Diceros bicornis minor: one gene and its partner. The protein of the gene in region 1 purifies or fractionates together with the protein of each later gene. This does not show direct contact. Links are inferred from orthologs where the notes say so. Each region holds a gene or a part of one and is shown on either strand. Other genes may lie near its edges.

What was found.
Region 2: the proteins of GOSR1 (region 1) and BET1L purify together in Homo sapiens (affinity purification with western blotting; 3 studies listed by BioGRID and IntAct, with this or other methods). This does not show direct contact. The link is inferred for Diceros bicornis minor from reciprocal best matches to the Homo sapiens genes GOSR1 and BET1L.

The regions. Positions count from the first base shown.
Region 1 is NC_080757.1:17,341,822-17,350,161, forward strand, and holds the start of GOSR1 (Golgi SNAP receptor complex member 1), read right to left. Parts: upstream 3,313-8,340; 5' UTR 3,241-3,312; coding exon 3,210-3,240; intron 900-3,209; coding exon 779-899; intron 1-778. UniProt on the Homo sapiens protein: Involved in transport from the ER to the Golgi apparatus as well as in intra-Golgi transport. It belongs to a super-family of proteins called t-SNAREs or soluble NSF (N-ethylmaleimide-sensitive factor) attachment protein receptor.
Region 2 is NC_080770.1:17,806-25,487, reverse strand, and holds the start of BET1L (BET1-like protein), read left to right. Parts: upstream 1-4,381; 5' UTR 4,382-5,580; coding exon 5,581-5,712; intron 5,713-5,993; coding exon 5,994-6,050; intron 6,051-6,195; coding exon 6,196-6,363; 3' UTR 6,364-7,682. Other genes in the region: RIC8A (synembryn-A), read right to left, coding at 503-653, 1,229-1,320, 1,812-2,402, 2,488-2,535, 2,815-2,898. UniProt on the Homo sapiens protein: Vesicle SNARE required for targeting and fusion of retrograde transport vesicles with the Golgi complex. Required for the integrity of the Golgi complex.

The DNA of each region.
Region 1 (8,340 bases):
AGCATAAGATTCAAAGAACTTATTTTCCATATGTTCAATACAGCTGTATACCAGATGCTCAAAAAAGAAGCAAAATTAAAAGCAGCTCAGATGATTAATAGTGAGGACACATACTGCATTAGATCCATTCTAAAACACCAGAAAAGCAGTACGTATATTTTGCATTTAGGTAGCTCCTCAGCTCCATTTAGCAATCAGAAGCTATAAGAAATACAATGTGGGCAAATCCACCACATTTCCTTACAAACGCTGAACTAGAAACTCTTATCTCTGACACAAACTCATTCTTAAGCATTGGCATTTTCCTCCTAACACTGTCACAGTCTTTGCCAAAGGATCCCAAATAAATGCTAGTCTCAAGAATTAAGAAGAATTTATATAAATTAATAAAAAATAAAACAATCAATAACAAAATAAAACACCAAAAATTCACCAAAATGACCAAGGTACAGAATTATATATTTTGGTTTAGTTTTTAATGCTTTAAAAACATTATTTAGGGGCCTGCTCCGTGGCTTAGTGGTTAAGTGCTCGCGCTCTGCTGCTGGCGGCCCGGGTTTGGATTCCGGGTGCGCACCGATGCACTGCTTGTCAGGCCATGCTGTGGCGGCGTCCCACATAAAGTGGAGGAAGATGGGCACTGATGTTAGCTCAGGGCCAGTCTTCCTCAGTAAAAAAGAGGAGGATTGGCATGGATGTTAGCTCAGGGCTGATGTTCCTCACTCACACAGAAAAACATTATTTACTCTAAGACATAAGAGACAGAATCTGGTACTACCTATACCTGTCGCGTCTTCCATCTCGGGCACTGCTGTGACTATAACTGGTACATAGTTTACTGAAGGAAACTAGTTTCAGGTCAAGTTCATTTTCCAGCTGTCGAGCCTGTTTCCTCAGATCTTTAAAAAATTATAAAAGCAAATAATTAGACATAACAAGTCCATCAGTAGACATGAAAATCATAAAACTAACCGGAAGAAAACAAACAATGCAAATGATCACATATTGATCTAGATCCTCCCATAAAGAAGTGTTATAAGGACAAAACCAAGTATTTACCCAGGAAAGCAAATTGTCACTTATTTAAACTTCAGATGGGACAAGAAGGGGAGGGACAGTGGGAGACACAAAATTTCAGCTTTATCTCAAAAACAGCTAGACAACAAATGTCCTAACATCCACGAAATTATTTCTATAGCAGTAACTAAAATTTCATAATTTGGAGGAAAACAGAAGAGAATACAAATCACAAAGGAACTGGTTTCTGACCAGCATTATATTAGTTTACCAGCTATCTTTACGACAAGAAACCACGACTGTTTTTGACAGAGATTTTCCTATCTCTTTATGTCCCAAAGCTTTATTAGCCTTATGAAATTCTTAATAGTAGAATGACTTAGCGATTGAGCATAAAGAAAAAATAATCATAGACAAAGATAAAAAAAATTCCTTAAGTTTACTGAAAGAAAGTTGGAGAGGCTGAAACTAACAATAAACAACGAGCCACTAACAGGGTTAGACCTAAGTATGACAGAAATAAGAGCATAAGTTTTAAAACAAACAAGCAAAGAAACTGGTATAGTAGTCTGGCATGTAAGTGGTTGAGTGAGAGAAGCCAAAGTTCAGAAACCCACATCTAGATGTGAGTACTCTCATTCATGGTGAAGCAAGGTCCAAATAAAAGGGCTGAAACGTAGGAAGGAATAATGTAAGGATCTCATCTTTCCGGAATAAGGAATACAAAACATTATTTCAATATACTTATCAGCCAGAAGTAAAAAGCAGAGTAATACAGTGGAGAACATTTGCCCAGAGACCAAATCTCAGTTAGAATCTCAGCTCAGCCTAAAAATCTGAGATTCTAAGAACTGGCTCTGTGATTTATTGACAATCTACTTTATGCACCTCAGCTTTTTGTTTTTTAAACCCCTACTTTCGAGATTTTTCTATGCATTAGTAATCATGTGTTTAAAGCCCCTAGCACAGAGTAGGTTGTCAATAATAAGCTCTATAATTATTATAGCACGGTGCGTCAAAAAACCATAGTCTACTGACTTGTATTAAAGATACCAACAGCCACTTCTACATAATTTAAAAATATTTTCTAGCTAGTACACACATTTCAAATTGGCATTTTAATACGTGTTTTAAACTATAAGCATGCTCTTCTGTAATTAGTAACTGATTTTCTAACAGAAAACATCAAGCAAAAGCACTTTGAAAAGTATAACAGGTAAGTATGGATGAACTTAGAATCAAGTTTCTTAGACCAAGTATCTGATAGTAACAATACTGTTATTTGTGGTGGGTTTCCAGAGGTTTCAGTGGGTAGCAATAGGAAATAGGTTAAAAGGGGTAAGAGATTCTGAGAATAGTTTCTATGCTGCAGTAAAGCAAAGAGACAACTGAAAGAAAAAGGTGAGCCTCCTCTGATTTTTGTTCATCATCACGGTCCAGGAATGAGTTTTAGGTGAGTCCACTTTATCGGACCATATTTTCAGGAATTAAACAAACGTACTTGTCAAATCACAAGACGGTTTTTTGGTAGAAGAGGTATATAGCAAATGCAATAATGACAATTCACAGTGGTTCTCCCAACTTTCTCTTTTTAACAAAACCCATCTCTAGAGCAGAAGGCAAAGTTATTTCCTCCGCCTTCAAAAGCCGACTCGACACCCAGTCCTCGAAGTCCCAGCCTGAAGCTGCCAAGGGGACCCAGTAAGAGACATTCCACTTACACAATTTCCCTCTGTGGACCGGACTGACCAGTTCCTCCTTTCGCTTTTCCTACCCAACTGTCCAACAGCGACCTCAACTCGAACGCGCTGACTCCCCCAGTCTCCTGGGCTCGGATCTTCTCTCTCAACACTCGTTTCCTCTCCGAGCTCGTAGCCCAAGCCCCTTCGTCCAAGTTCCGCTACCCCCTCAACCCAGTCCTCCTCCGCCGACTCAGGCCCCTCTTCCCTCCGTCCCCGCTCAGCCCTCTCTGGCCAACCCTGCCCCAGGTCCCGCTGCCTGGCAGGTCAGCCCCTGGCCCGGACCGTCCGGTCTCCGCCGCCCCCAGGCCCCGGGCTCCCACTAGACGAGCCCCGCCCCTCAGCCCGGCCGCTCCGGAGACCAGGCTCTTTCCTCCGCTGCCTGCCCCAAGCCCCGTCCGCACTCAGCCCCTCTGCCCCTCGGCTGGATCCACCCGGAGGCTTCCCCCTCACCTTCCCAGTAATTGCTGGTTCCTGCCGCCATCTTTGTTGTCCAACGTCAGTCTGGCTAGGAGAGCCGAGGCGCAGCGAGCCACAGAATCACCTCTGAACCTTCTTCCGCCCTGGCGCCAGGGCCGATGGGATACGTGAGCTTCCGCAGACACCGCCACCTGGCGGGCAGTTCATCATTGTACAGCTTTTGAGGAGCGAGGCTGACAAGTTTAGCTTTAGCGCCTGACACTCCCTGAACGTCTGTCATCCTCGTGTTCATATCCGGTCTCCGCGCCCCAAACCTGCATCATCGCCCTCAGCTCGGCTTATCTGCTCTCAGCAAGGGCCTGCTTGGCTGAGAAGAAAATTATCCTCAGACCCAACTCCCTGTTACCCTCACCTTCTCTCAAATGTATATTTCCCTTCTCAGAGTCAGACTCTTTTGGGGTTTTTTTTTGCTATTGAATTGTATGAGTTCTTTATATGTTTTGGATATTAACCTCTTATCAGGTATATGATTTGCAAATATTCTCTCCCATTCCATAGGTTGCCTTTTCATTGTGTTGATGGTTTCCTTTGCTGTACGGAAGATTTTTAGTTTGATGTAGTTCCACTTGTTTATATTTGCTTTTGTTGCCTTTACTTTTGGAGTCAGATCCAAAAAATCGTCGCCAAGACCGATGCTAAGGAGCTTACTGCCTATGTTTTCTTCCAGGAGTTTTGTGGTTTCAAGTCTTACATTCAAGTCTTTAATCCATTTTGAATTAATTTTTGTGTATGGTGTAAGATAGTAGTCTAGTTTCATTGTTTTGCAAGTGGCTGTCCAGTTTTCCCAACACCATTTATTGACGAGACTGTCCTTTCCGCGTTGTATATTCTTGACTCCTTTGTCATAGATTAATTTACCATATATGCATGGGTTTATTTCTGGGCTCTCTATTCTGCTCTGTTGATCTATACGTCTGTTTTTATGCCAAGACCCTACTGTTTTGTTTATTATAGCTTTGTAACGTAGTTTGAAATCAGGGAGAGTGATGCCTCCAGCTTTGTTCTTTCTTCTCAAGATGGCTTTGGCTATTCAGGATCTTTTGTGGTTCCATACAAATTTTAGGATTGTTCTATTTCTGTGGAAAATGCCATTGGAATTTTGATAGGGATTACATTGAATCTGTACCTTGCTTTGGGTAGTATGGACATTTTAACAATATTAATTCTTCTGATCCATGAGCACAGAATATCTTTTTATTTATTTGTGTCGTCTTCAGTTTCTTTCATCAATGTTTTATAGTTTTCAGTGTAAAGGTCTTTCACCTTCTTGGTTAAATGTATTCCTATGTATTTTAATCTTTGATGCAATTATAAATGGGATTGTTTTCTTAATTTCTGTTTCTGATAGTTCATTGTAAGTCAGAGCCAGAGGCTCCTTTCTTCCCGAGACCAACCCCTTGATCCTACCTCTACCTGTGCTCCATTATCCCCCTATCTCTGGTATATGTGCTCTTCTTTTCCACTGGTTGCCTTTTCCTCCGTCTACAGAAGTTATAGTCCCAGCCTTCTTTCCTTTCCAGTCACCAAATCTAGAAAGTATGTGCTAACTGCTTCCACGTGCTCTCATCTTGACCCCTCAGCCCGTTAAAACTGCTGTCCTGGGGCTGGCCTGGTGGTGTAGTGGTTAAGTTTGGCATGCTCCGCTTCTGTGGCTCTGGGTTTGCAGCCCAGATCCCAGGTATGGACCTACGCACCGCTCATCAAGGCATGCTGTGGTGGTGTCCCATACACAAAATGGAGGAAGATTGGCACGAGTGTTGGCTCAGGGACAATCTTCCTCAAGGAAAAAGAGGAAGACTGGCAATAGATGTTAGCTCAGGGCCGATCTTCCTCGCACACAAAACATCTGCTGTCCAAACCCACGCTTTATAGATACATAAATGATCACAGTCTGCTTGTGTCCACGTTTTACCAGTTCTAGTGAAGTGTAGAAACCTTACCTCCTGTAAAGTCCTTTTGCTCAATCCCATTATAATTGCCTTTAGTATTTCCTCTACATTCATTGAGAACCACATCAGATGTTATAATTTTTGCTTCAACTGTCAGACATAATTTACAGAATTCAAAAGGAGAAGGAAAGCCTACTGTATTTACCCATATTTAACTCTTTCTACTTTTCTTTCTTCCTTCCTGGTGTTCCAAGATTCCTTTGTTATTATTTTCTTTCTGTTTCAAGAACTTCCTTGAGACATTTTTTAAAGAGATCAGTTGGAGACAAATGCTATTAATTTTTCCTCATTTGAGAATGTCTTGCTTTCCTCTTCATTCCTGAAAGATATTGTTGCTAGATATAGAATCTGGGGCTGATGATTTCTTATTTTCAGCACTTGAAACATGTGCCAATTCCTTGGGGCCTCCACAGTTTGTGATGAGAAATTGGCCATTATTTGAATTGTTTTTCCCCTATAGCCAAGGTATCTTTTCTCTCTCACTGCTTTCAAAATCTTTTCTTTAGTTTTTAGAAGTTTGATTATGATGTGTCTTGGTGTAGATTTCTTTGGTTTTTTTCCTGTTTGGGGTTTGCTCAGCTTCTTGAATTTTAGGTTTATGTCTTTTGCCAAATTTGGAAAATTTTCAGGCGTTATTTCTTCTAATACTTTTTCTGCCCCATACCCTTTCTCCTCTCCTTCTGAAACTCTGATGACGTAAATGCTAGATCTTTTGTTATAGTCCTGCATATCCCTGAGGCTCTACTAATTTTTTTCAGTCTATTTTTTGTTTTTCTGATTGGGTAATTTCTACTCTTCTGTCTTCAAGTTCACTGACAGCATGTCTGTCCTCTATTCTGCTGTTGAGCCCATTCACTGAGTTTTTTATTTGAATCATTGTATTTTTCAGATATAAAATTTCCATTTGTTTCCTCATTATGTCTTCTATTTCTTTGCTGAGACTTTCTGTTTCTTTGCTGAGCCTCTTTATATTGTTTGTTCTCAGTTTATTTGTAGTTGCTTATTAAAATATTTTTATATTTTTGTCAGATAATTCCAACATCTGTGTCAACTTGATGTTGGCATCTGTTGATTGTCTTTTTTCGTTCAACTTGAAATTTCCTGGGTCCTTGGTATAATGATTGATTTTTCATTATATCCTGGATATTTTAAATATTATAATAAGACTCTGCATCTCATTTAAATCTTCTGTTTAAGCAGAACTCCTCTGACACTGTGCTGGTGGGGGAGGTGGGGAACTGCCTTACCACTACCAGGTAGGAGTGGAAATTCAGGCTCTCCCTTGGGCTGTGTTGATACCTGGGGTTCTGGGTGCCTTATTACTGCTGCCCACATGGCCTCCACTGACACCATGGCCGGGGCCTCATTACCACTGTGTGGTGGTGGAAATCCTGGTTCCCCACTTGGCTTTCTTTGACATTGCCCAGGCAGTGGGGAGCCCTGCTTCATTATGGCCGGGTAACTGTAGAGTCTAGGCTCTCCTCAGCTTTGCTGGCAGTGGGTAAAGATGGGCCTCAGTTTTTTCTGTAGCATTTGGCTGGAGTAGTGCAATTATTGTCTCAAAGTATTCTGTCTTGGTAGGCTGTCCCTTTCCTGGTCCTTTGGCTAGAGAAGGCTTTTCTTTGGGCTTTTTTGGTCTGCATCCTTTGGCACTTTGGGGTTGCCAGCTTCTCCAGAACCCATTATGGGATATATGAGGCAAAAACAAAACTCAGGGAACTTACTACCACGTCGTTCCTTGGATCCTGAGGTTCCTAACTGGTCTGCCTTCTTCTCTCCACCTTTCTGAGTCTTCTTATTTGTTTCATATATAGTATATAAGTTTTTTGCTGTGCTTAGTGGGAGGAAGAGAAGAGAAATACATCTCCATTTTGTCCAGAACCAAAAGCGTCCACTTAATTTTTTAAGATTTTAATTCTCTGCTAAAGTTCTTCATCTTGTCTTCTACTTCCTTGAATTTATTCATCACCATTATTTTAATATTTCTGGTTGATAACTGAAAAATCCGTACCTCCCATGGGAACTTTTCTAATTTTTTTCTTGATCTTTCATCATCTGATACGTCTTTTGATAATGAGTAACTTTTGATTGGATGCTGTATGTTATAGATTAAAATTTGTAGTCATCATTTGAGGCTCCTCTTCCTCAAGAGACAGTTCACTGCTGCTTCTTGCAGGCAGTTGAGGATGGGGCAGATCCGCGTAATCAAGTGTGGGGTGGAACTAATACCAAGTGGGAGTCTATGTTTGTAAAAACTGGACTATTTCTGATTAGCTTTTACTTCTAATGTGTAGCCATCAAGTTTCCTAACTGAAAGCCTGTTTACCATGCCCCCTTCCTTGATAGGTGCTGAACTCATATTTTCCCCACCCAGTAATACTGCCTAGAACTCTGCTTGGGTTCTCTGGCTCTTGCTTGGGTTCTCTGCCTCTTGCCTGGACTCTCTGCTCCTAGGCATCTTTACCTCTTAGTCACCACTTATGAATCAACAAATGTCTCAAGGTGAAAACTACTGTGATGTTCACCCCTGAACTGCCTTTGCTCTAGGATCTTGACCCCATAAGTCCTTGTTACCTTAGTAGCTCTTCAATCCTTCAAACAGGTTTTTCCTTTTTTTTTTTTTTTTAAATCCAGCTTTTCTAATTGTTCTTGATGGGAAGGTCTTTCTGTTTCAAGCCAATACAGCAATAGCTGGAAGTGGAACTAAGTTATCTTATTATTTCTAATTTCTTTGTAGATTATTTTGTATTTTCATACAAAATACATACACCATCATATCTACAAATAGTGACAAAGTTATCAATATTCATATCTGTTTATAATTTCATGCTTCATGGCTGAGATCTCTTCTGTCAATATAGCAAAGTACTTAGTGGGGTTTTTATTGGTTGGTTTTGGTGATAGGGAAGCGTCGTAAGTGCTCCAATTGTGCAGTACTCATCTATCTTGCGGGACTCTTTAATTTCTTTCTTTTGCCTCTTTTCTCTTTCAACACCTGGTTATTAAAGGGTGCTTCTCCTTTCTTTTTCACTTTTTTCCTTCACCAGCAGCTCTGTTTCAAAGACTGCTCCTTTAAATCACCTGCCCCTTTACATTGTGCTCACTTTGAAGCCCCTTCCCTGGAGTTTGTGCTCTGATTGGCTTGGACATGTGTT
Region 2 (7,682 bases), on another chromosome or scaffold:
GCTCCCACAGGGGCTCTTCAGAGCCCTGGACGGCCAATATCCTATGGTGCAGTCGCAGGAATCAGGAAGCCTCTGGCTCGAGGTCCCTGTGGGTCCCCTCAGGGACGTCTAGGGACAACCAATGCTCGTCACCAAGGGCTGCCCGTGCACAGAAACACTAAGAGTCTAAGATCACAGGCAGGGACTGGGGGCTTCTCAACACCATGCCAGAGAGATCCATAAAGAAATCTAAAAAGCAGACTCTGAAAACTTGTTTCCTTGTAGTAACCAGAAGCGAAACCTTCAAGTGTGTGTGTAGGAGTGTCCACATGCTTCTCAGGGAGGACGGGTCTGGCTTCCTGCCTGGCTGGACCACAGAGCAGCTGGAGGATCACCTGAATCATACTGGCGAGCTAATCTTCACTCACTAACGTGGACGGCACAAAAGCAGTGACCACAGCTGCTCAGGAAGGCCAAAGCCAGAGCCATTGGGGAGCCCACACAGCAAGTCCCCTCTGCCTACCTGATGCAGACGCTTCTCCAGGAAGCTAAGGAGGACACGAATCACATCCATGTTCACTCCCAGGAATTCCAGGGAGCCTTCGTGTGGCTCCAGGGTGAGGAGGACGTCCAGACACTTGAGGGGCAAGTTCCCCAGGAGGTTCACCGTGTGGCTGAGGACAGACGGGGAGAGGGGCTTGGTGAATCCAATCCCCCAGCACAGGCACAACCCTTGGTACCTCCTGCTGGGGCTGCATGTGACGTGAACCAGTGTCCAGGGGCCTAAGGAGCAGCACAAGGGGCCCGAGCTGAGGAGAGGACTGCTCTCAGGGGGCACTCCTGCTCAGTGGAGTGGGTCCCCGAGGAGGGGGGCACTCTTATGCAAACACCTCACCTATGACCCTCTGTCTGGGTTGAAGCACCACAGACCACCTCTGGAAAACCAAAACCTGCCTCCAGGGACAGGTCACCGAGAACAGGAATGAGGAACCTACACTGCCCTGTAGATACTACACCATCCACTGCCCCTGCCTAAGGTCCTGGGGCACACTCCTGTTCCCAGACTCGTGGCTCTCGTCCTAGCCATGTACTCTAAGTGCCAGAGCTCTCTGGAAACCCACTGATGTCTAGTCCCACCCAGATGGGTAAAGACTCGCTAGGGTGGAGCCTTGTCCACAACCATGGCTGGCAACCACCATCTAGACACGTGAGCACACTTCCCTCCCAACACAACAGGCCCCACCCTCACCCGTGGAACTCCTCTGTACGGTCTCCAGCAGCAGTGATCATCACACAGTGCCGCAAAAGGGTTCCCAGGTGCTGGTAAAGGGCAGCATCTTCCTGACCAAAGAGTAAGAGGTTCCTGTGAGAGAGAGCCCCACTTGTCCCCCTGCTGCCAGCTGAGATTCCACCGTCTGCCCCACTCCAGGACCAAGTGCACCGATTACACATCTCCCCCACTGCACACCCGGCCCCTCCGCCTCTCCTACACAACCTGAAAAGCACTCTCCTGATTAAGAACGTCAACAGATGTCCTTGGGATTGAGTCACACTCTGTGTTCTGACCCCATGCTCACAGCCTCGTGATTGGGAATCTCCTACACTGTCCCCATGTATCACACAGCTCTCCTGCCAGGCTCCAAAAGCCAAATGTGCTCTCCACCTCCCTCAGAAACCTTCCTTGGGGCCCCTACCCAGGCGTCTCCTCGCCTCCTCCAGTCTTCTCTGAGCCTAACACCCTGAAACTTGAAGGCACCCAACAGGGAAGCAGATCCAGGAAACATTCAAGCTGTTAAGCCCCACCCACGGGTTCAGATCAGCTCTCTTCTTACCTGGTCCACCTCTCTCTTTATGGAGTCGAAAGTGATGTTGAAGAGCACTTTGAGAATTTCCATGGCCCGCTCAGTCTCCTGGGGAGGAAGGAGCGCAGGGGGGCTCTCTTCCGGGCTCATTCCCAGGGTCAGCTCCAGCGCATCTGTCAGCAGGTGCACTCCCCGCAGCTCCTGAAACAGCTGCAGGCGCACGTCGGTGCGAAGCGCAGTTAGCAAGAAAAGAAGGCGCAAATCAAAGAACTGGACGTCGTGAGGAAAGCTGCTCTTGCGGTACAGCCCTACGCGCTCTGCGAGTCTCACCACCAGGCGAGCCTCTGCTGCCAGCACCTGTGCCACCGGGCTGCTGAGCACGAGGTTGCACAGGCACTTGAGGGACTCGAGGACAACGTCCATGTCCAGGGGCTCGGGGACCGAGCCCCCGGAGGCGGAGATCCCAGCATAGCAGGCAAATGCCTGCAAGCTCTGGCGGCTGGTAAATGGGTCCAGGCAGCTGCGGTCCCTGGACAGGATGCGGATGCTCTGCAGCCAGGTGACGCGGCGGGACGGTGGCAAGCCCTGCTCCAGGACCGAGGCCAACAGCTCCGCCAGTCTCTGTGGGCGGGGAGTAGAGCGGCTCCACCAGGCTCCCCGACCCGGGGCCCCCGTCTCTGCCCCTTACCCCTCGGTCAGCACCCACCTTCCTGTCCTCCTGCTGGGCGTCATCGAATGTGAAGCTCTGGGAGTTCTGCAGGGAAACCCAGGGGCTCATGGAGCGCAGGTCCGCACGGGCAGATCCCGGCCTCCGAGATGAGGCCCGAGGCTGCAGGCGCCGCTCCGAACAGATGGCGCCCCGCACACCTGCCCCCAGGTGCGCACGTGACTCCAACCAGCGACTCCTCGTAGGCTCGGCGCCCCTTCCTGCCGCTCCCTTCCACCCTCGGGCCCCGCCGCAGTCACCCACCCCTCCGCCGGCCGCGCCCACCCGGCCCACCGCCTCCTTGCGCGCCCCACGACTCCCGCTCACCTCCTGGTTGTACGCGAGCAGAGCCTCCATAACCACGTTCTCTTCCCCCGTTTGCACGGCATCGGCCACCGCCCGGGGCTCCATGGCGTCTCCAGTACTTGGCGCCCGGAAGGCGGGACGTGGCTCCGCAGCCCCGGGCCTGAGTCCGCCAGCCCCGCCCTGGCTCCGCGCGCGGGGGAGGCCGGGACGGGGCAGCGCGCGCCTTAAGGTGGCGCGCTTTAAGGTGGCGAGACTTGGAACAGCCTCCTAGAGCGTGAAGGCTTTGCCGCCCGGGCTTCAAGATCCGACTCGGTGATCGTCCGACCTCAGGTCCCGAGACGCCCCCGAACCGAAGAGTGACCCTCGGGAATTCTCGGGCAGGAATTCCTGGCGGAGACGACCTCAGCCCCACCCCCCGCCCCTCTTGATGAACAGGACGGACAGGATGTCGCGGGTACAGCCACGGTGGGAAGGGCTGCCAGCCCCCGCACCACTTGGTTTGTTAAACGGGCGTTTGGGCGCCTACTACACGCGAGGCGCCGTGATGCGGGCGAACAGGACCCGCGGACCCTGCCTTCGCGGACCTTATGTTCCCAAGGCGAGGACAAACAAGGACGATTTTAGGCAGGCGGTGCCGTGACTGGAAGAGGAGAGGCTGCTGGGCTGCAGAGAGGTCTGAGGTGCCGGACGAGAGGGGAGCCAGGAAGATCTGGGGACGGGCATTCAAGGCACGGGGGAACGGCCAGGTGGGAGAGAAACGGACCTCGTTGGGGCTGAGGAAGGCTTACGGTCAGGGTCAGGAGGAGAGCAGAGCTCCACAGTGCGCGGCGGCTCCTCGCTGCGCAACCCAGACACACGATCGGCCTGGACTCAGGCCTCTTTCTCGAAGAGCAGAGAAGACCAAAGTCGCCCTTCCAGTGGGTTGTCGGGAGAACTCAGTAATACAGCGGATGCCCCCGCAGTGGCGGGCGACTTGCCCTGCAACAGGCGCCGGTCGAGCGTCCACTCGGCCGGGCCCTGGGTCGGCGCCAGCGCACAAGCAGCAGCCCCACCCACTGTCCGGCTCCCCGTCCTCGTCGGGGGCGTCCCGGGCCCCGAGCACCACCTGGTCCGCCAGCAGTCACCGCGCCGCAGCCCGGCGGGCCGGGGGACCTCGGGGCCGGTCCCTCGGCGCGCCCAGCCCCGCCCGTCGCCCGGGAGAGGGCCCGCGAGCTCCTCCCACTTCGGGCCTGACGCCGTCCCGGAGGCGTGGCTGATAGAGGCGTCTGGACACCGGAGCTGGCGTTAAAAACGCTAACCCTAGGCGGTCCTAGTCAGGCGGAGGAACCAACATCAGGCCACTTCCGTCCCCACCCGGGCGCCCTGCGCCCCGCGGCCGGAGCCTCCGCCGGAAGTCGGCGGGCGCGCGGCGGAGGGGGCGGTGACCTCCGCCGGAAGTAGGCGGGGCCAAGGCGGAAGCGGCGACGCCGGAAGCTCGTTCCCGCGGCTGCGCCACGTCCGCCGCGGCAGGGGCCGGGTAGGCGACGGAGCCGGGGCCCGGAGCCGGCACGATGGCGGACTGGGCTCGCGGTGAGCGCGGGAGAGCAGAGCCGGATGGCGTCGGGGCCGGCCGTAATCGACGCCGCTGCCCGCAAGAGCTGCGTCCGCGCGGCCCAGCCCGCTGGGTGGTCTCGGCGGGGAGGCCCTGCGGGCGCTGGCGGCTGCGCTGTGGGCGGGTCGTGGGGTCCCTGCGTCGCGGGGCCCGGCTGCCCGGAGTTCGTACCCCTCTGTCCCTGTCAGATGGTTCTGCTGGCACCCCGGCCGGCCTCACGGTCGCGGAGGCCAGCCCCTAGGAGGGAGGCTGCGTGGTGGGAGGGCAGCCCCTTCGCCCTCTGGGAGCCCGTGTTCTCGTCTGCGATGTGGGATGCTGATGCCTGTCTCGCCGGGCTCTTGTGACCGTTGAGAAGTTAATGAACGTGAGGGGGTTGGTAGAACGCCAACACTCCTTCCTTTGGCGTCTGTATCCATCTGTGGTTCCTAGAGCTGCACCCCCATTAGATGGGTCACGTGGAGGCATCTGGCCCGGGGCAAGTTTGCACTCGGAACTGGGGGGACGCGGTTCTCACCCACCTGATGTGACAGTAATGCCGAACCGCCTGGCCGCTCCCTAGTCATGGGACCGGTCTTAGCAAGCACTGTGCTCGGTGTCATATAAGGCCCTGGGTGGGGTGCAGAGGTGAGCAGGCCCAGGCCCTGCCCTCGGGATCGACCTCAGCGCCCCCGTTTTTGGGTGTTGGGGAGCTGTGCTGAGTTGTCTCCTCCCTGGTTACCTGTCATCTCTTGAGGACCGAGTTCACAGGTCGTCCCTGCAGGGGTCTTCCTGCTGCCCCCCCACCAGTCTTTCCTTGGTCCATACCAGAGTTTACTGTTTTTCTCTGGGAACAGGTCTCTTGTACGCTGATAGTAATGTCTGTGGAGGGATGGTGCAGGTTCTGTCACAGAGTATCAGAAAGTGCCGGTTGGGCTGATCCTTTGAGGCTGTACATGTTGGGGATGCCTGTCCACCCTGGCCTGGATGTGTACACAGGACATGTGGTCACGTGATGGGTGCCCGCACACGCTGTTGTTGACACAGCCTGTCTCACGTGTGTGTGAAGTCCTTACACCGGATCCTGGGTTAGGGCTGGACTTGTTCATCAGACACAGGTGGGCCTAGTCCCGCCAGATTCCGACTCAGGTATATGGGATTGTAGTGAGAGAGTCCTGAGGCCACGAAGGGCTGACATCCAGGGGTCAAGGGCAGTGCTCATGGGTGGATGCACCCCTCAGCCTCTCTTTCTCCTTGCAGCTCAGAGCCCTGGCGCTGTGGAGGAGATTCTAGACCGGGAGAACAAGCGAATGGCCGACAGCCTGGCCTCCAAGGTCACCAGGCTCAAATCGGTCAGTGGTGGTCCTCCTGTTTCACCTCCACCTGGCACCTTGGAGCAGGGATCAGAGGGAGGGTAGAGGCTTGGAAGGGTTTCATGTAGTTCTCATCTTCCTTGTCCCATCCGTGGCAGCACTCTCTTGTGTGAGGCCTAGGTGATACCTGGACCTCCTGATCTCTGCTGGTGGTACTGTGTCTGGCAGAATCGTTGGTTGGGTCTGCTGGTCTCATGGAGGGTCAAGCACCATCCAGTGTCTTCCCTGGCCTGACCCTGCCCCCTCTGTGTCCTGATCAGCTTGCCCTGGACATCGATAGGGATGCAGAGGACCAGAACCGGTACCTGGATGGCATGGTAAGGGTCTGCAGCGTGCGTGAGTGTTTCGGTCAGCTCTGCCCCACACTGCCTGCTATATAGGTCCCCAGTGTCTCCTGCAGCACTCTCCTGTGGGTCTTGGAGGGTCCACCCCTGTGTGATCGTGTTGGGATTCCTCCCTCAGGACTCGGATTTTACAAGCATGACGGGCCTGCTCACGGGGAGTGTGAAGCGCTTTTCCACAATGGCGCGATCTGGGCGAGACAACCGGAAGCTTCTGTGCGGTATGGCCTTGGGACTCATCGTGGTCTTCTTCATCCTCTCCTACCTTCTGTCGAGGGCAAGGACGTGAACCAGTGGGAGCTGGCGTCTGTGGGTGCACAGGGCAACCAGCATCTTCCTCTACCTGGTGTCCTGGGCTCCAGAGGACCTTCCTACAAAATACTCCTTTGGAACGATGATCGTGGCTTAGGAATCTTCTTCCTGTGTGGCTGGGAGCCCATGGCTGCTTCTGGCCCAGTGAGATCATGTTGGCTGTCCCATGTTGCTGGTCCCATGCAGACATGGGACCCTTTCCTTTGGGGAAACCAAGGCCCAGCACCCTCTGCCACTCCAGGTGCTAGAGGTGCCAACAGAGCCAGGTCTGAGCAAAGGAGCTAGGAATCCTGGACGTGGCTACCTGTGGTCAGTCCTTCCCCCAGCCCTAGGGGCTCTGATGTCTCCAGGCACCTCTGCCCCATCCTTGTCTAGGTAAGGCCACGTCTGGTGTCTGAGGTGCCTGGAGCTGATAGAGAAGGGGTGTTTCTGTGAAGCTCCAGGCAGCACTGTCTGTTCCAACCGACAGTCTCAGCCTAGAGATGGTGGTTATTCCTGGCCAGGGGTCCTGAGCATGGGTGGACCAGTGAGGCCTCTGTGCCTGCTCTCTAGTCCCATGGCTGAAGCCAGACCCTTGGGGAAGTGCAGGGGGTTGTGGATGAGGAGTGGGCTGCAGCCTTGGCTGGAGGCACTGGGCCCGGATCCTTCTGGATTTTGTGGTCATGTATTCCAGGAGCAGAAATTCATATTTTGTCAGGATGCGGAATCTCCCCAGCGCCAAATATGTGTTTTTGGAGACTAGATGTCTAGAAACAGGCCCATTTGGTATTTCAGAGTCAGTCAGGGTATGGGAGTGAGGGGGACCTTTTGTGGGCCCAGACAGGAGGCTTTCCTGTAAGGACTTTCTTCATAGGACCTGTAAGTCACTTCTTGAGGATCACCAGGCAGTTTTTCCTCCACCAGGCCCAGCCCTTCCTCCCACAGCAAGTCTCTCCTTGCTGTGAGGGAGGTCTGAGCCACACCCTCCTCCCCAGCGTCTGCAGATGGCCCTCCCTGCCCCCCTCTCCCAGGGCCCTCACTGCCCACTTGGCCAGCCCCGTGCTCACACCAACTGAAGCACAGGCCCAGCTGGATCACTCGCCTCTTCTCTCCCCACAGCAAGATCCCAGCAGCTTTGTGTTCCCATGAAAACACTTGTAAGAAACGAGTTTTTGGCTTTTTGTGCTTCCTTGTCCTTGTTCCCATCTTTCCCAGTCACTCTTCTTTATTCCTGGAATACTGTTGGCTCATCATCCACCCACCCACACTGTTACACCACATGTGGTCACACATGTGGACCACGCATCAGCCACAGCC